4 linked regions of the Kluyveromyces lactis genome follow. The protein of the gene in region 2 interacts with the protein of the main gene of each other region in a pairwise test. Links are inferred from orthologs where the notes say so. Each region holds a gene or a part of one and is shown on either strand. Other genes may lie near its edges.

The links.
Region 1: the proteins of GPA2 (region 2) and CYR1 interact in binary tests that used the Saccharomyces cerevisiae proteins (3 or more experiments, as listed by UniProt). The link is inferred for Kluyveromyces lactis from reciprocal best matches to the Saccharomyces cerevisiae genes GPA2 and CYR1.
Region 3: the proteins of GPA2 (region 2) and IME2 interact in a two-hybrid assay, tested with the Saccharomyces cerevisiae proteins (2 studies listed by BioGRID). The link is inferred for Kluyveromyces lactis from reciprocal best matches to the Saccharomyces cerevisiae genes GPA2 and IME2.
Region 4: the proteins of GPA2 (region 2) and GPR1 interact in a two-hybrid assay, tested with the Saccharomyces cerevisiae proteins (4 studies listed by BioGRID). The link is inferred for Kluyveromyces lactis from reciprocal best matches to the Saccharomyces cerevisiae genes GPA2 and GPR1.

The regions. Positions count from the first base shown.
Region 1 is NC_006042.1:1,445,893-1,450,649, reverse strand, and holds the start of CYR1 (adenylate cyclase), read right to left. Parts: upstream 2,902-4,757; coding exon 1-2,901. Other genes in the region: copper metallochaperone COX17, read left to right, coding at 3,327-3,356, 4,118-4,279; MEU1 (S-methyl-5-thioadenosine phosphorylase), read left to right, coding at 4,746-4,757.
Region 2 is NC_006040.1:933,542-937,325, forward strand, and holds GPA2 (guanine nucleotide-binding protein subunit alpha), read right to left. Parts: upstream 2,198-3,784; coding exon 533-2,197; downstream 1-532. Other genes in the region: CUZ1 (Cuz1p), read left to right, coding at 3,322-3,784. UniProt on the Saccharomyces cerevisiae protein: Alpha subunit of the heterotrimeric guanine nucleotide-binding protein (G protein) involved in glucose-induced cAMP signaling.
Region 3 is NC_006042.1:262,635-267,197, forward strand, and holds IME2 (protein kinase IME2), read left to right. Parts: upstream 1-1,694; coding exon 1,695-3,962; downstream 3,963-4,563. Other genes in the region: KLLA0_F02860g (NAD(P)/FAD-dependent oxidoreductase), read left to right, coding at 4,466-4,563. UniProt on the Saccharomyces cerevisiae protein: Protein kinase which is essential for the initiation of meiosis and sporulation.
Region 4 is NC_006042.1:2,300,149-2,304,751, forward strand, and holds GPR1 (Gpr1p), read left to right. Parts: upstream 1-1,702; coding exon 1,703-4,303; downstream 4,304-4,603. Other genes in the region: MET22 (3'(2'),5'-bisphosphate nucleotidase), read left to right, coding at 1-758; phosphoinositide 5-phosphatase INP54, read left to right, coding at 4,585-4,603. UniProt on the Saccharomyces cerevisiae protein: Seems to associate with GPA2 and act as G protein-coupled receptor that senses glucose and controls filamentous growth.

The DNA.
Region 1 (4,757 bases), on a different chromosome or scaffold from region 2:
CGGAATACTATCCAACTTGTTGTTGGCGGCAGAAAAATGAATTAGTTTTTTTGAGTACTTGATTTCCGCAGGTAAACTTGTTAAGTTATTGTCATTTAATTCAAGCTTCTCAAGCTTTTCTAAAGTTTTCAAAAAATCGATAGGTAAACTGGATAGTTTTGCCTTGTTTAGAGATAAACTTGTAAGGTTAGATAACACATTACCTCTATAGTCGAACGAAGTAACAGGATTTTCTGTCAAATCGCAGCTTCTTAGTTTAGGTAGTGAATCTTCCCAAACGGAAATTCTGTTTGAGGTTAAGAATAAATTCTGCAAATTTGGGGCGTTTGATTTGATAGTGGCAATTCTATTGTTTTTTAGATTGAGAGTCCGTAGGTTTGCCATACCTGACAAATCGGGAACAGCTTGAATTTTATTGTTGGATAGGTTCATCTTCGCCAACTTACTTAGTTCGTTGATGGAAAGTGGAAGTGAATTTATCTTATTGTATGAAAGATCAACCTGTAATAAGTTTGTACACCTATTGATAACTTCGGGGTACGCCGTAAATGCATTGGAGGAGATATCCAACAACTGCAAGTTCTTGAGATTCTTAAATCCAGATGGAAGTCTGTCTAACTGGTTACATTGAAGGTTCAAAATAGTAAGATTGGACAACTTGGAGATGGATTCCGGTACCCTTTTGATAAAGTTTCTCTCTAGGTCCAAGGAAACTAAATCATAAGCCTGTGTAATGTTGGCTGGGAACCTAGATGCCCTGACATTAACCATTCTCAAACTGGATAGCTTAACGGCACTTTCAATGAAATCGATAGGTAAAAAGATATTAGCGTTATTAGAAACATCCAAACTCTCGATTTCAGAAGTATGCTGATAAAAAATGATAGGAGGTGTAGTTAAGTCCATGTTTCTCAAGTCAACATGAATGAAGTCACCCTTCGAGAGCCTCTGTTGTTGTTCTATTGTTAATTGGGAAGTGGTCACCGGGTGGAATTTGAAACTAAAAACAAAGCTGACATCTTCGAGCCCCAAAATATGGAGCGGATCACTCTTCTTGTAACCATTCAATAGTAATAACTTGATCTGGATGAGGATTGGATTTGCAGTTGGTCGTAAAATCTTAGATAGTTTACCAACCTTCAACGACAACTGGAAATTCCCCTGTTGAATATTAAACTTTTTCTTTATTTGTGGTATAAGTTCGGCCACAGATGTATTTGGACGACATGAAAGGGTTGTGAAAGTATCATCGACATTGAAGATTCTAATAGCATATTTTTTGGTTTGGTCAATATCCGAAAGATCACTATAATACTTCTCAAGCATATGTTCTTCGTATTCGGTTTCTCCATCTAGTTCTGTATATTGTTCGATATTTTTTTGTGATAGAGGCGAACCTGGTCGAGATTGCGTCTTAGCAGAAGTTATATCGTCTAGGCTTTCTGATTGGGTTTCAATGGAAATGTCTGAGTCTTCGTCGCCGTTGGGAGAAATTGTGAAACAAAGATCGCATTCGGAGCTTTTCGTTTCTGATAAATGCAGTCCCGATTCGTCATTCGATCCTCTGTTAGGAGGAGAAGTGCGCGGTGACAATGCGTCTTCTTCAAAGTCATGATGGTGTACATGAGGAATTACTGGCTCCGAAGTATCTTTCGCAATGACATTTTTTGGAACAGACCCCTTGGTATGTTTTCCTTGTGATTTGCTGTACCTTTTGCGGTTTTTCCCTCTATGTCGATTGGCCTTTGACATCTTATGTCTTTCTTTAATTTTGTTAACATCAAGACCGACCGTCTCATCAACATCCCAGGATTCTGGAGCAGTCCATTGTTTCCGTAGCGCAAGTGTAGCATCCTTGGTATCTTGTGACGCATTAGGTGATTTTGGTGGAACTTTGTCCGTAGTTTCTGCGGAGGGTGCATTAGAAGTAACGACGACATCCGTCATATCAGAAAGTTTGTCTAAATCTAGGTCAACACCAAATATTTCTTTAGCGGCTGATAATTTAGAAGCATCAAATGAGGTCCCTGAATTTCTTCTTGACAGGTCTGTGTCAATACTTCTGCCTGCAGAACTTACTCCATGTTGTTGGTTCGAAACGCCACTTGTCGCATTCCCACCGCTTAAATTTGAACCATTGCTGGCTTCGTTACCTGAATGTAACAGGGAGCTGCCCTTAGACCCAGAGTGTTTCATATGAGGAGCATTTGCGGATGTCAAAGTAGACGCCGCAGACATGGTTGAAGAACCATGTATGAATGTGCTCATCTTTCTCCGCAAAGCGTTAGTGGGAACTTGCTGTTGCAGAGACTGTTGATGAAAGGGTGACTGCTGTTCACCATCTGAAGCCGACACTCTGCCACCTTGGCTTATTTGATTATCTGAATCTGGAGGCCCTCCTTGGCTTGCCAGAGATGATTTCCTGCTGGTAAGTTTCTTGAAGAAATTAGTTGCACGTGACGGTTTGGTAGTTCCTTTATGTCCATGTGAAGTAGCTGTTGATACTGACAGCGTACTGGAAGTGCGCGAAAGTAGCGGCAGGTTACCTCTTGATGAAGTTGCGGTCAGGTTTGCAGTCCGGGACCTTTCAAAAGTGGGTTTCACCGGTTTTGCCAAAGGTGGTTGAGGATTGTGCGCGAATGATCCAGCATCACGAACTATAGCAGAATGGAAACCCTTTTTCCCAGGTTTCACCTTCTTCGTAATTGCATCTATGGAATAGTCCTCTTTAAAAGTGGGCATACCAACGTCTTGCCATTCGCTATCGGTATCGCTTCGTGGTTGTAACTCCCTACCGCTATTTTTACTTGAGATACTGTTATTTGAAGAAGCACTGCCAGCACTGTTTCTTGCTCCCGAGGAGATGGAGCTTCGATTAGTTTCTTTCGGTTGTGGATTCATAGTTGACCTCTTCTTTCTCTCGCACTGTGGTTTGTCTTGAGTGGTTGAATTTACAAATGAATACAAGTACCCATAAACCAGCACTTAAGAATCCAAACAGGACAGATTATTATAAGGAAAATGATTATTATCCAACTTCTGACAAAGATTATGCCAAAATGAAGTGAGACTATAATCGATTGTGTTTTTGTCAACAGAAATTAAAATTACAAATTGCTGTTGAAGATATATTATTGTCTTTAATTACAAATAGTGTCAAATCAAAGTCTGATAAAAACCAGTGATTAACTAAGAACGCAAAATGATCAACGTACTTGGTTTTTTCAACACCAGCGTAAACACGATAACACAATTGAATCGTTGTAACACTATATTTCAATGAGCACTTGGGTTATGACAATACCAGAGTGAAGTAGGGTTTTACTATGCACCTGAATTTCCAATCTAGTGCATCAGTATGTCCGTATCAAACATTATATTTTGCACATTTTGTTATTTCACATTTTTTTCAGCTCTCCATCAATTCAGTGAGAAATTTTCGTTTCCAACGTGCAAAGTCTCCCCTTAACAAAAAGGGAAGCTTTGACATCATCATACGTGGAACGGTAATGCTGCAATGTGAGGGATCCAGCTGCTAGCTTTAATGAGACCTCATGTTCAAACTGAACCTACTGTCCGCTTTTCATTTTACTGCCCTAAGTTAAGGATGAAGAGTATAAGAGAGGTGATAGGAGATATAAAATTACCACGTGACTGATATTGCAAACTCAGCAATCAGTTGAAATTGAAAGCTGATCTGGTGGTTTTGATATTCTATACAATGTACCAACTTCTTATTTATCTCTAGGAGAACTCTATCGAGCCTGTAATTCAACTTCCAGCAGCTCTCCATATGGACTCTTCGTTCGAACATTTTTACCATATATGGCGGATTAGATAATCAATCGGACAAGTCACATGAGCATTATCCGGGTAATGAAATCAGACACTGAATGTTAAAAGTTCAAAAAGGTAACTACTGAGAAGCTTCTCACAGGATTTAGTAATACAACTAACATGTCGATGGTTTGTAAAGAATTGTAGGTAAGTTATTGAAACCAGCCCTTTAATCTGTCACCATTTAACCTGATACCTTTCAGTTCAATATCCAGACACATCCCAACAGCAAAACTCTATAGAAACAATGCCACAAGAGACCAACACTGCTCCAGTTAAGACAGAGACAGAGGCTACTAAGCCAAAGCCATGCTGTGTTTGCAAGCCAGAAAAGGAAGCTAGAGACGAATGTCTTCTATTTAATGGCCAAGAATCCGGTAAGTGCGATGAGTTGATCGCTAAGTATAAGACCTGTATGAAGGGATATGGCTTTGAAGTTTGAATCTAATGCGACAATGGCAGCTGACCCATTATGACGAAACTTTGCGAAGAGAAGAATATTTATACATATATCAATGTTTGGAAGGTTTGGAAGGTTTTCGACTACCCCATCCTCATTCCTGTAAATACTGCGATAACCAGAAATTCCAAATTCCAACTTTAGTATACCTACAACTATACAAAAATCATTTATGCAATTAAAAGCATAGTCTTAGAAGCTAGGTTCTGTTAATAATTGTGTCTTTTTAATAGTATCATTGAAACAAAAGAAAAAGAAGAAGAGCACGTGATTATTCATTTTTTTTCACCTGCGTTGTCTCTCGAATGCTCATCTCCATCTTCAGAAAAGTTTACAATGAGCGCATGCATGCATTAATTTAAATAAAACTGTCTGTAAATTAGTCCTTTCAAATCTGATCTGGTGAACCAAAACTCTTCTAGTTCCTCTTTACAACGTTATTCGTTTTATGAAAACGTTC
Region 2 (3,784 bases):
GTTAGAACATATCGAAAATATAGATATATATACATTGCATACTTTAAGTCTGAGTAAAAAAAAAAGCAAGGGCCCAATACTTGACCTTCATTTAATTCTCATAGTCCACTAAACGGTTACTATCGGATCTAACTGAATAGTTTTTATATTTAACTTACATAACGGAAAGAGTTGAACCTTTGCGTTATACCGTAAATCAATATACAAGATAAGAGAGATATCTCAATAGGGACTAAAAACATATGTTGGATCCAGTCCAAAACGATTTTAAATTTGCCTGAAATTTAATAAAAACTTTACATTATTGCAAACTAGGAAAAATCATTCTTGTTATCGACTAAACTTCATGAACAAGGACAGGCTTCGGTGATAACACGTTACATGATGTTGATATTATTAGTACTGAAATAGATCACATTATCTTACATTTCATTATCCTCATAAAACTGTTCGATAAGTTGGAAGTTGAAAGTTGAAAGTCATTAGTATAAAATTTGTTATCCTTAGTATTCATGTGCCGCTATCACATTCCCTACAAAACACCAGAGTCTTTTAAGCTGTTTTCTAAGATAGTTTCCTTGATTGCAGCAAACACTAGTTTGATATTTGAAGTATCAGTCGCTTGAGTGACGTGAGGATATATGTTGAGATTGGCCCTATTCAACTGAACAAATCTCCAAAGAATATATTTGGCAGCTTTATTGATGTCTTTGCCCCCAGTATAATCAGGGAAGTACTTTTCCAAAGGAACGTGACGAAGCTTTTCAGCGAAAATATCGATCTTATTCAAAAATAGAACCACCGAACTTCTTGCAAACCATCTACTGTTTACCACTGAGTCAAAAAGAATCAAAGATTCCTCCAATCTATTTTGTGAATTGTCTTCCAGAAGTGTTTGATCGTATTCGGATAAAGAGACACAAAAGATGATCAATGTCACGTTATCAAAGCAATGAATCCATTTCTTACGTTCTGACCGCTGTCCACCGACATCGAAGAAGTGTAGTTTCAAGTTCTTATCCAAATCTATCATAGTGTCGAAAATACCTGAAGTCTTTTTCCTTGTTCTGATAACATCAGTGATGGTGGGTATATATTTTGGTTCACTGATTCTGTCCAAGTTCTCGTAAAAGTAACTTGCGCTATCCATCAAATAGAAAGAAGATCTATGTTCACTCACGAGTAAGTCTTGAGTTGATTGGAGGTTCCATAGTATTTTAAGTGTCTTTGCTAGATCTGCTGGTAAACAAGGAAGTTTTGTAGGTTGATATTGTTGTGACAAAAGCTCATCTAGATCTGATTCTGATATTTCAGCATCTTCCTCCAACTGAACGTTGAAAGTTCTTCTAGCCTTGGCCAAATCTTTACCAGTTTCAATGATATTATCAAAGATGAAAGGTTTGTATTCCAGTAGCTCCTCTCTGCTGAAACCGTTTTGATGTAATATTTTCAACTGCTGCAAAACGGTAGATTTCCCACTTTCACCTGAACCCAATAATAATACTTTTAATGCATTTACTGTCTCAGATCCACCAGGAGATTGACCCCCTGAAGCATTCACTGTGCCATTCCGTTTTGCCAGATCAGTATCGAAACCATTTACTCCAGAATCGTTCAAAGCCAACGCCTGGCTGATCCCTGTCATAGTTCCAGAGTGGGTCTCTGAATTATTCGACTGATCAAATTGGTTAGACAAAGCCTTGTCACTATTAGTACTATTACCATTAACCCCATTTAAAACTCCGGTATTGATATTGTTGAAATATCTCTTGTTTTCGATATTACTATTATTACTGTCGTGAATGTTTTCGCTGTCATTATTATTATTACCATTTATATTATTACCAATGTTGTTATTATTATTGTTATTATTATCATTATTATTACTATTATTATTATTACCGTTATTTTTATTGTTTGCATTATCGTATTCAGCAGTATTACCTACGCCGTTACTTACAGTACCGTCTTCCGATACAGTACTGATTTTGGTCTTACCACTACTGCTATTATTAATATTCGAAGCAGCATTTACGATAGAACCTTTAGCCTTTTTATTCTTCTTGTCCTGCTTCTTGTCACCAGCTCCTTTCCTAACATCATTCCGCCTGTTAGCATCGTTTGCACCGGGACGATTCACTCTGGGACCCCCATCGTGAGTCGACTCCCGAGAATCCTTTGAGGCACATAAACCCATATCGTCAGCTAACCTTTTTCTTTTCCCAGCACGCTATGCAAATATGGTCGCTCAGCTTTCCTAAATTGGTTGGAAACTTAGTGATTTCTTAGACGTTCTATTTCAGAATATACCAACACCTGTTCTTAGAATTTTCCCTGTCCTTTTCCTTTCGTAAAGTTCTTTCAAATCAAACGTTATATGATTTTTCAATAATGTTAACCTGCTCAAAGAAACGAAAAAAATGGTGAAAACTGGTTTCTACGCTGGTTTGTGAAGGATACGCTGTGGTTAAAATGATGTGATATGCAATCGGTAGACCACTTTGTTGTCGGCTGTCAGACAGAAGTTGGTCGGTATTATATAGGGAGTATTTGAAATATAAGAAAGGGGAACTAGGAATTACTAAGATCCTTATTATTACGAGTTGTTTCAGCTGGAACTGTGCTCCCTTAAATACCATGCTCGTTATGTGGGTAGTTTGAACATGCAAAAAATTGCAAAATATTAATACCTCAGCTATCCATTCCAACTGATGGATTTTCCAAGTGGTTTTCCCTTCTCGTAGAAACTGAATATACACTCTTTACAATTGGGACTGACAAGCCTTTCGAAGAGATGTCAGTTTCTACATGGTGATTAGAAACTCGAGTGGAAAAACTTCTGGAGACACCCAGCATGATCACTGGAGAACAACATTTATGTAAAGAATAAACCTGTAGCCTCGGCTGAATGTACTGTATAGGAGAGAAGACCATTGGAATAGCTCCGTTTGTGTTACTATTAAGAGTAGCTGTAATTGACACATTGAGACAGGAACACTCGTTACCCGAATATTATAAATACATTTGTCACGTGATTTTGCTGGCATCTTCCACAGTATTCTCTCATAGACTTGTGTAAAATGAAGATGAGTAAGGCAGAGATCATCACTGGCTATGATATGGATGGCGGGACGTATTTGTCATATCGCTTATATATATAAAGAGCACCTGGCAAGGCCGATAATATACACAGGTTGTTTGCCACTTGGGATGAGTTTCTCACTTTGATATCGATTTGTGTTATTTGTGTTTTATAGAACTCCAGGTCCGGGACCAAGACTGATCAAGGGCTAAAAGAAGAAATAATACAGTTGATAAACAATGACTAAAGAAGTTGGTATGCTAGATGTCGGCACACACTGTTCGTTTTGTCGACAGACTGATTTCCTACCGTTCCATTGTTCTGCTTGCAACGGTGATTTTTGTGCCAACCATAGATTGAAGGAAGATCATCACTGTGAATCACTGAAGATAGGTAAGAATAGCCGCAGCAGTGTCACAGTTAGTATTCCTGCTGCTGCTGCTGCTGCTGTCACTCCGAAGAAGGACAATGGTGGTAGCTTCTTTCAATCTTTGTTACCTGCCAGAGCACCAGATCGGATAAAGACCATGATGCAAGAGGATAACTCGAAACCACCGGTAGATAACCTAAAATCGAAGCTTTTCAACAGTAAAACCTCCAGTTCTCGTGTAGCTATCGATAAACTACGGCATTTTTTCGCCAAGAACGGTAAATTATTCGAGAGTAAGAAATCTACTACCAAATTTTCTTCTGCCAATAAGC
Region 3 (4,563 bases), on a different chromosome or scaffold from region 2:
ATCTTCTCACTTTGCAGGTTACGGAAGAGAAGTTCATTCATTGTGAGCACCTCGACTAGGATTAAACGGTGAATCCAAAGGTGATTTGCAACAGAATCCTAATTTACCGATGCATAGCAGTCATGCGTCGTCCAATAATTAACATATTGTCGTACTTCATCCAATTTACACATAAATGATTCATTTACTGCCATAAGGGGGGCAGGGCGTTTCTACTGAAGCTATTAAAGGAAATTCGGTATTATCTATATCGGTAAGTTTAGCCGCCATATTTTCTTGAAAAATTTTCCTTTCAGTTGTTGTAGCCAAACTGTGGGGAAGGGAGAACTATGGTCAGAAGCGATCGCAATGTTTACCACTCACATCATGACGTGCAATAGGTGCGCCATATTGGGTCATATATAAATTACTAGTATACTTAAATTTTTGTCGGTACTTCTTAGCAGAATCTCTAGTGGGCCCCAATCTTTTCGGCGCTTACACTGCAGAATTCGGCAAATGCTGCATTTTCGGTAAATGTGCCTGTACTTAACCCCTTTATATCCAAATTATTCGATTGATCTATTAATACATAGGTTAGTATGTACATATCTTCCGCTCCCATCCTGTCCCGTTTAATTCCCGTAGCCAATCTTGCCGAACCTTTCTTCCCCTTAATCTAACTCTCTAGAAGTTGTTCGTGCCCGGTAATATTTGGAGGGGTACAATCCGATCATTTTAAAGTATATGGAGAATCAATTAATAAATTAGATTTTTAATGGTTTGTATATTGAGTTTCCCTTATCGTAGACTCACCCCTCCCCTATACCGCTATACATGGATTTATCGCCTTGTACAGGAACACTTATCAGCTTGTAGATCTGGATTTTTTTTTTTATTGCTGAAAAGAAGAATACATCCTTTGCACCAGAATTAGGCGCCGACATGTTGGAATTCTTTTGTGGAATATATAAAGGATGCGTTATTCAAAGGATCTCCTTTAATTTTGAATCTTTTTGTGTTCTCATCTTCTAATTACCGTATTGCTGTCAGTTATGTGTATCTTTTTAAGTTATGTATCAATTGTGAACGAAGGAAACCACATGCATATTTGCAGCAGAAGGAACAAATTTCACACTTACTTTTACTAGGATCGATAGTGGCTAACTGAAGCTCCTGTTGTTCTGTTTTGAAGTTTTACATTGAAAAAGTGTTTTAGTATATAACAACTAGACACAGCATCGCCTTTTCACTTTTTGAGATCAAAGGTATTATCGTTGTTTGAGTTTCATTTTGAAACTGCATATTAAGAGAGTGTTAATATATCAGGATTATTGTTTTTCTGTTTTTCTATTTTTCTCGATTCTATCCTATACAGCATTATCTAAGGTGTCAGATTTCAGAGATTTCAGACATTCGATAAATTTTTTTTTTCTAAAAAAGTTAGAATAAAGAGAGCGGTACAAAAAGGCAAAAACGGCACTCAGAAGACACAAAACGAAACACTCCAATAGGTGTCAGTTTTAGGAATCCTGTAATAAAAGCCGACACAAAAAAAGCATAAGATTAGTTATAAAATCAACCAAAAAAAAAGTGCTTCTAATTTATTACCGCGTAATTGAATCTTAAAACACAAGATTAATCGTTACATTTTAAAATAAAATTCACTAGAATATTTGTCAATCAACTACTTCAATAAAGCAAAGAAGAACAAAATGCCAGCTTTAACTTTGACCACAGCAGATTCCTTCATACCCCCAGATGTTAATAACCCTCCATTCTATATTCCGCTCAAGAATATCGATGCTAGATATAACGTAATTCAGGAATTGGGGAAAGGATCCTTCGGATCTGTGACATTGGCCGAGACAATGTACGATATGAACAGTTCAGCCACCCAAATTTCCTCAATGTACCCAGAAACTTTGATGGATCAAACTCTTATCAGAAACGTCGAACAAGAAAACTGGTACTATAAGAAAAAGGGTATAGTGGCAATCAAAACAATGATGAATAGATTACCAACATTGCATGACTATACAAGAGTCAGAGAGATCAAATTCATATTGCAAATTCCTGCACACAAAAATTTGGTTACCATATACGAGATGTTCATTGATGATTCTTTGTATCACCTTCACATTGTAATGGAATGCATGGAGCAGAACATTTATCAATTGATGAAACATAGGAAAAGAAGAGTGTTTTCCCTACCTACTTTGAGGTCGATATTATTCCAAATATTAGCAGGAATTAAACATATTCATGATCACGATTTTTTCCATAGAGATATCAAACCGGAGAATATCTTGATATCGCCATCTCATAGGTACTTCAGCAAGAAATGGTTGGAAGATGATAATTATTCGGATAATTACGTGGTGAAATTGGCTGATTACGGTTTGGCAAGACATGTGAATAACAGATCACCTTATACCACCTATGTGTCGACCCGTTGGTATAGGTCACCAGAAATTCTTCTTAGAAAAGGATACTATTCCAAACCGTTGGATATTTGGGCGTATGGTTGTGTTGTTGTCGAACTAGCCACCTTTTCACCACTATTTCCCGGTTCTGACGAAACCGATCAAATATGGAGGATTCTAGATTTATTGGGCTCCCCAGATCATTCTATCAATGGAAAGGAGCACTTTGGGGGTTCATGGCTGGATTCAAAACCATTATACCAAGCTTTGAACTATGAATTCCCATACGTAGAAGGGAAAACGATAAGGGATGTTCTACCAAACCCACAATTGGAAGATCTATATGATGTGGTTACATCTTGCCTAAAGTGGAATCCAAGTGAAAGGGCTACTGCAAACGAAATATGTGCATTGCCATACTTCAAGGAATACGTGATGAGAGAAGCATCTTTGGCAAAGACAAATAACGGAACCGCATCCAAAAATAAGGATAATACAGCTTTGGCAAATAAACTTGCAGCAAATCCATCAATATCAAACCAATGGAGTCGTATTCTTTCTGGACTACCACATAACCCGGAATTGGGCATTGTTCCTAGTTTTAACTCTCCACAGAAGTTACCAAAGGTTCAAAAGAACAATCAAATGAATTGTGTAACAGATAAAAGCCAACAGCAACCGCGAAGAGGAGGAGTTGCCTCATGGTTCAAATTTTCCACGCAGAAAAACCACGTTAACATCAATCCAAATACAAACAATGATGAGAAAATCCTTACTAGTGTTAACACGAATACAAATAGCCAGAAGAATCAAGGAATTGTAGAAAAAAAACAGCAGGAACAACAGGTAAATGCTCACAACGAGAGGCTAGATAGCTCTACAAACGCTAATGGTAACAGTATTCCTGATATAAATCTCATAGGACATGCCAACAATGATAATGAGGTATTCACTATTGAGCTGGATGATAGCATGGAGACTATGACAGGATCTGATCAAATTTCTAAGGAATTAAATGACAAAATAGAGCTTTATCAAGACACCACAAATCAGATGAACCCACCAACTCTGGATGTTGATGACGATGACGATGAACATGATTCGATTGACATGGACCATGAGAATTATAGGATTCAGGTGTTGGACGAATTTGATACTGATGAGAACTTGGAACATGAAATTAGAGCGACCGACAAAGATGAAAACAATGAAGTTGCCGTTGATAAGATGAAGATCTCCAATCAAGGAGAAGACGAAGATGATGCAGATAGTCTTCTAAACTATTATCAGGATATGATGGCTAAGAAATTACCACTTAACAAAAACAAAGGTAATTACATGCATTCGAATGGACCAGCGGGTCCTACACTATCAGATCAAATGGCAATAGACGATTCACTTGATCTACAAGAACAGATCCCAAGAAATCTGCTGGAGAGGGCAGTACAGCAAAGAGTTTTAGATTGTCTTTTAGATCCATCGGAACATGCATCTCAAAACCTGATTCAAACCTCTAACTCCCACAATCATACATTCCAAGATGGATTAAGTTTCTGATCGTAGAACAAAGAACAGCAGGCTGTTCCTCTCTTTCAGTTCTACTCGTTGAAATTTCTTTCAACAACGCTTTACCTGGTCCTCTTCCCATTCATTTATACCGTTTATAATATCCACACACACACACACACATATTCACCTTTTGTACCTGCTAGCTCATAAGTTTTAACATAACTTGCTTCTATTATTTCCTTTATAACTTGTTGGATACAGGACAGAAATGCCGACAACTCTTTCACTCTATAACATGGTACTTCTACTTGATTTACCTCTTATGTACACTATTATCCTTACTGTCTTTGTTTACTATCTCAAGTTTTTTTTTTTTTTCTTGGTAAACTGTTCCTATCAGCTCCGAGGTCCGATGATTCAAAATCTTTCGAGCCATCAACTTTACATTGTACTTCAAAGTCTTTATAAAGAAGAACTTCGGTTAAGAAAGAACATAGATAATATATTCAACTATACAGCTTTCCTCACATTAGACAGGCAGCGAACCGGAAATGTCCAATTATGATGTTGTCATTGTTGGCGCGGGTATATTTGGATTAAGTACTGCTGTGCAATTGGCTCGTTCCAAATATAAAGTTGTGGTGGTTGA
Region 4 (4,603 bases), on a different chromosome or scaffold from region 2:
ACGTCCCTTTTGTCAATGAGGAATTCCCTCTAAATTCCATTGAAGAAATTAAAAGAGTTATTGATTTTGGTAACTATTCAGGTGGAAACACTGGCAGATTTTGGTGCTTGGACCCAATCGATGGAACAAAGGGATTCCTAAGAGGTGACCAATTCGCAGTATGTTTGGCCTTGGTAGTTGACGGTGAAGTTCAAATTGGTGTCATTGGGTGCCCTAATTTGAAACTATCAAACTACGGAGCCTCTGATTTGAGCGACTCACTATCTGCAGGTTATATTTTCAGAGCTGTGAGAGGACAAGGTGCTCAATATTCCATTACCACTGAATCACAATGGAGGGAAATTCATACCAGAGATGTTGAAAATACTTCTGACCTGGTTTCCCTAGAAGGTGTCGAAAAGGGACATTCGTCTCACGACGAACAAGCTATCATCAAGAAAGATTTAGGTATTACTAAGTCCCAACATCTGGATTCTCAGGTGAAGTACTGTTTACTTGCCCTTGGATTAGGCGATCTTTACCTCCGTTTACCAATTAAAATGTCCTATGCCGAGAAAATCTGGGACCATGCTGCAGGAAATGTTATTCTTGAAGAAGCTGGCGGAATTCACACTGACGCACTTGAGGATCAACGCTTAGACTTTGGAAAGGGTAGAACTTTGCAAACCAAGGGTGTCATCGCTTCCTGTGGCCCTCAGAGCTTACACTCGAGAGTAGTATCTACATCAGCACGCATCATTTCTGCTAGAAAAACTTGAACGCATATTATTATCAAACACATACATCAGGTTATATCATAGTATATTTTTTCAAGCTACTTAATGAAATGTAGACGTACCTTAAACCGATACCCAAATAATCAGGCATACCACCAGTGCAACAAGCTGTTGCCAGGTAGAGCTTGTTCCTACAACCGATGAGTTTCCAGCCTGCTAGCGCATGACGTTAGCTATATAAAAAAACCCCTACAATAGCACTACTTAACCATAGATAGAAAATGTACATACGTACTTAAGTTGAAATTCCACATAGTCAGTGTAACATATTACCCGATAGTTCCAAATTACTTCAAAATCCTGATCACAAACTGGCATCCAGGCCACCTTTCCCAAGGAAGCTCCTTGGCGTTTTCCCACATGCCGGTGTGCATTTTCCCATAAACCTACATATAATTGACTGTGCCTGAAATTTTCATCACTGCTATTCTGGTTGAATAATATCGATAAGAAAAAAAAAAGAAAATGGTTAATAATTTCAAATCATGACAATTCAAAGGACTGGACATGCAACGAGAAACAGCAGGCAACTACCATAATTGCAGGAACTGGAGCATTATATATATGTTCGAGATTTGTGCAGTTAGACAAGTGTTTGACGTTTATTGACATTTGGAGAACCTTTATTCTAGAGAAGGAGATAGAAATTTTCCATAGACGTTGCCTTGAGAGCGTAATTATAGCATCAAAAGTTTTTGAAATTGAACGACAGAGTAGAAGTTCATCAAGGTAGATCAATACTTGAGGTTCAAGAACTTGTGTATTGAGTACAGGTTAACAATCGCTGGCCATTGTTAATCTGCTTGATTAGTTTCAAACTTCAGTCCTATTTTTTTATCCTTTTTCCGCTGCGAAGAGTGCGCTGGCTGCACTTCTAGTTGCTAGACATATTAAAGTATTGGTTCTATTAGACGTTTGCTCTCGCGATGATTGAGGATCTTTTAGACCCAACTAGCACGACGGTGGTTACTTACACACATTATGCCAGGATCGCTGCGTTCAAGGACCTGAATACAACGACCGTGAATCAGGTATTGGGATTACCAGGGCTTTTTTCAACATTCAACGCTCCGCAACTTCGGAAGCTCAGGATATCCGCAATTTCTGCTTCTGTGGCATCTATCTTCGCATGTATAATAGGATTATACCTACTAACATCGATAGATAGGCGACGGAAAGTGTTCAGACATCATTTAATTTTTTACCTTTTAGTTTGTGACTTTTTGAAAGCTATTGTATTATTGATTTATCCAGTGGTAATATTAAGACACAATGAAATATATGGAACCCCAGCATTCTACAATACTGTAGGATGGCTCACTGCTTATGCTATCGAGGGAGCAGATATTGCCATTTTTGTCTTTGCGCTGCATTTCGCCATTCTTATCTTTAAGCCCAACTGGAAATGGAGAAATAATAACACGGGGAATTTGGAAGGGGGCTTCTTCAAGTGGAGAAAATTCATATACCCATTCACTGCTTTGACACCGACCGTGTTAGCTAGTCTAGCCTTCATTAATTTCAGCAGTTATAACGAAGATGTCATCGAAGCTGACACCAACGTTGTGTTAGACAATAACAATTACAATTTTGAATTCCAAGCAAAGATGGGGGGTTATAAACCTTTAAGCGCATGGTGTTACTTACCACCAGTTCCAATATGGTATAAACTAGTCTTGAGCTGGGTGCCTCGATATTTTATCTTCTTGACGATTTGCACAATATACATCAGCATCTACGTCTTTGTTAACAGAGAAAGTCGAAAGATCAAATCAGAAATCAAAGGATTCCAACACTCGGAAGACAATCATGTTAATTTTTTCAACAGGAAGCCATCACTTAACATTGCTTTGAATGTAATAAATGGTTCTGCTATTGGAATAAAATATTGTTTCAAGAGATTCGTTTCGTTTTTACGTAACTTTTTCTTTCTCGAATTGTTTGATGATACTGAAAGCCAAAAACACAATTTATCAGCAGCGGGCGGTCGACAGCGTGCTGGCACGCCAGGCCTACCTTCAGTGAATGATTTGGATATAGGGCTATCTAACAGATATGAGTATAGCCCAGATGAGGTTGACATTGAAGACGGATACAATAATAATAGTAATAACGGTTTACATTTGTTTGAATATTCTAATCTTCCGATTGCCAGTCATGACGGAAGTGAAGATTTAAACAAAAATCGTAAACCAGACAGCCTTACACCAGCGAAACCTCAAGTTGCTCAGTTTCGGCAACCCGCTAACTCCTATGCTTCTGCAAGATGTCCTCCGAGCATCCCATTACAAACTTCTTCCTCTCCGAATGATGTGCCCAATGTGTCGAAACATAGTACAAATACCGTTGATAACCAAGCGATGGGAACAGAAGTGGATATTGAAAAAATGGAACATCTTCCAGGGAAAGATGTCACAGGCATAAAGCATAAGTTCCAATCTGAAATGTATGCGCATTTTAAAAATCGGAGGGATCAGATTAGGAGGCAACTTAAATCGATATTTGTGTATCCTATGGCCTATTTATTACTTTGGCTCTTCCCATTCATTGTAGACTGTTCTCAGTACAGCTACGAAATCTACAATGGCCCTATTGTATGGTTGGCTTACATTGCTACGTTCATGCAACCGTTGAATGGTGTTGTTGACGTGGCGGTTTTCCTGTACAGGGAGCAGCCTTGGAGATATTCTTGGGGTTTAATTCATTTCAAAGAACTAATCAGTAAATACAGGCTCAAGGGAGAAATCGGTGAGGCAGACATCTTAAGTATGTGCGAAAGTGAACTTGGAAGACGTGGATGGTACTATAGAGGAAGATGGGTAAAAGAAGAATGCTGGAAATATAAACCTCAGTTATGGAAACGTACATACTGGTATGTCCACAGAACAGTAATCGGATTATGGAGGCTTGATTTGAATTTCGAGGACAACTGCTTAGATAGAGATTATTGGGATTCGTATTATGGAAATCATGCTAGTAATACAATGTCAATGTCTACAACCAACAAGCTCAAGCTGTTTCCTGTACTGCATCAAAGTTTATCTTCATCGACAGGAAGTAGTGAAAACGGCATAGATCCATATAAGAGGAAATTCAAAGTGCCTTTAATGTGGAGAATCTTTCATAAACTTCCTCTACAAGAAGGTATTGACCTTGATGAATTAGATCGTTATCTCAAGATGAAAAACAGATATGACGACTTTATTATTCCAGGGTTGCAATTCGCGATTGACCAGAATACGAGCAACAACAATAATTCTCTATTTAAACCCAATTACCTTCTTTCGAGCAGTTCCAAGGAAAAGGAACCAACAAGTGACATTTCTCCTAGTAAACATTCCTCCATCACCGAAACACCATTACAAGGATCACTCAATTTTGGCAATGTGGCAAATATGAACTTTGCTGATGTTACTAAGAATGCTAATTTGCCAGGCGTTTGTGCGAACTCTAACCAGTCTCAATCGTCCACTAAAGAGGAACAGTTAGATTTATTATCCTTCTTGAAAGGTCCACCACCAACATAGTTCGTAATGCACATTGAACATAAGTACCATATATATTCAGTTTAATTTCAGTTGATTGATATATCGTTTATCATAAAATGCACCAACCGAATTAGGTAGGCTAGTCCTTGTTAAGATTTATATCATTGGCTATCAACTTTTCTAGCATTTTCCGTAAAAATATGATAATTAACACAGCAATCTTCAAATTTAAAGGTTCAAGATATACAAAGGGAGAGTCTTTTCACCTATTAACATTCTATCTCCCTAACGGGTACACTTCTTAAATAAAGACATTGAAGATGTCGAGAACACTTAAAG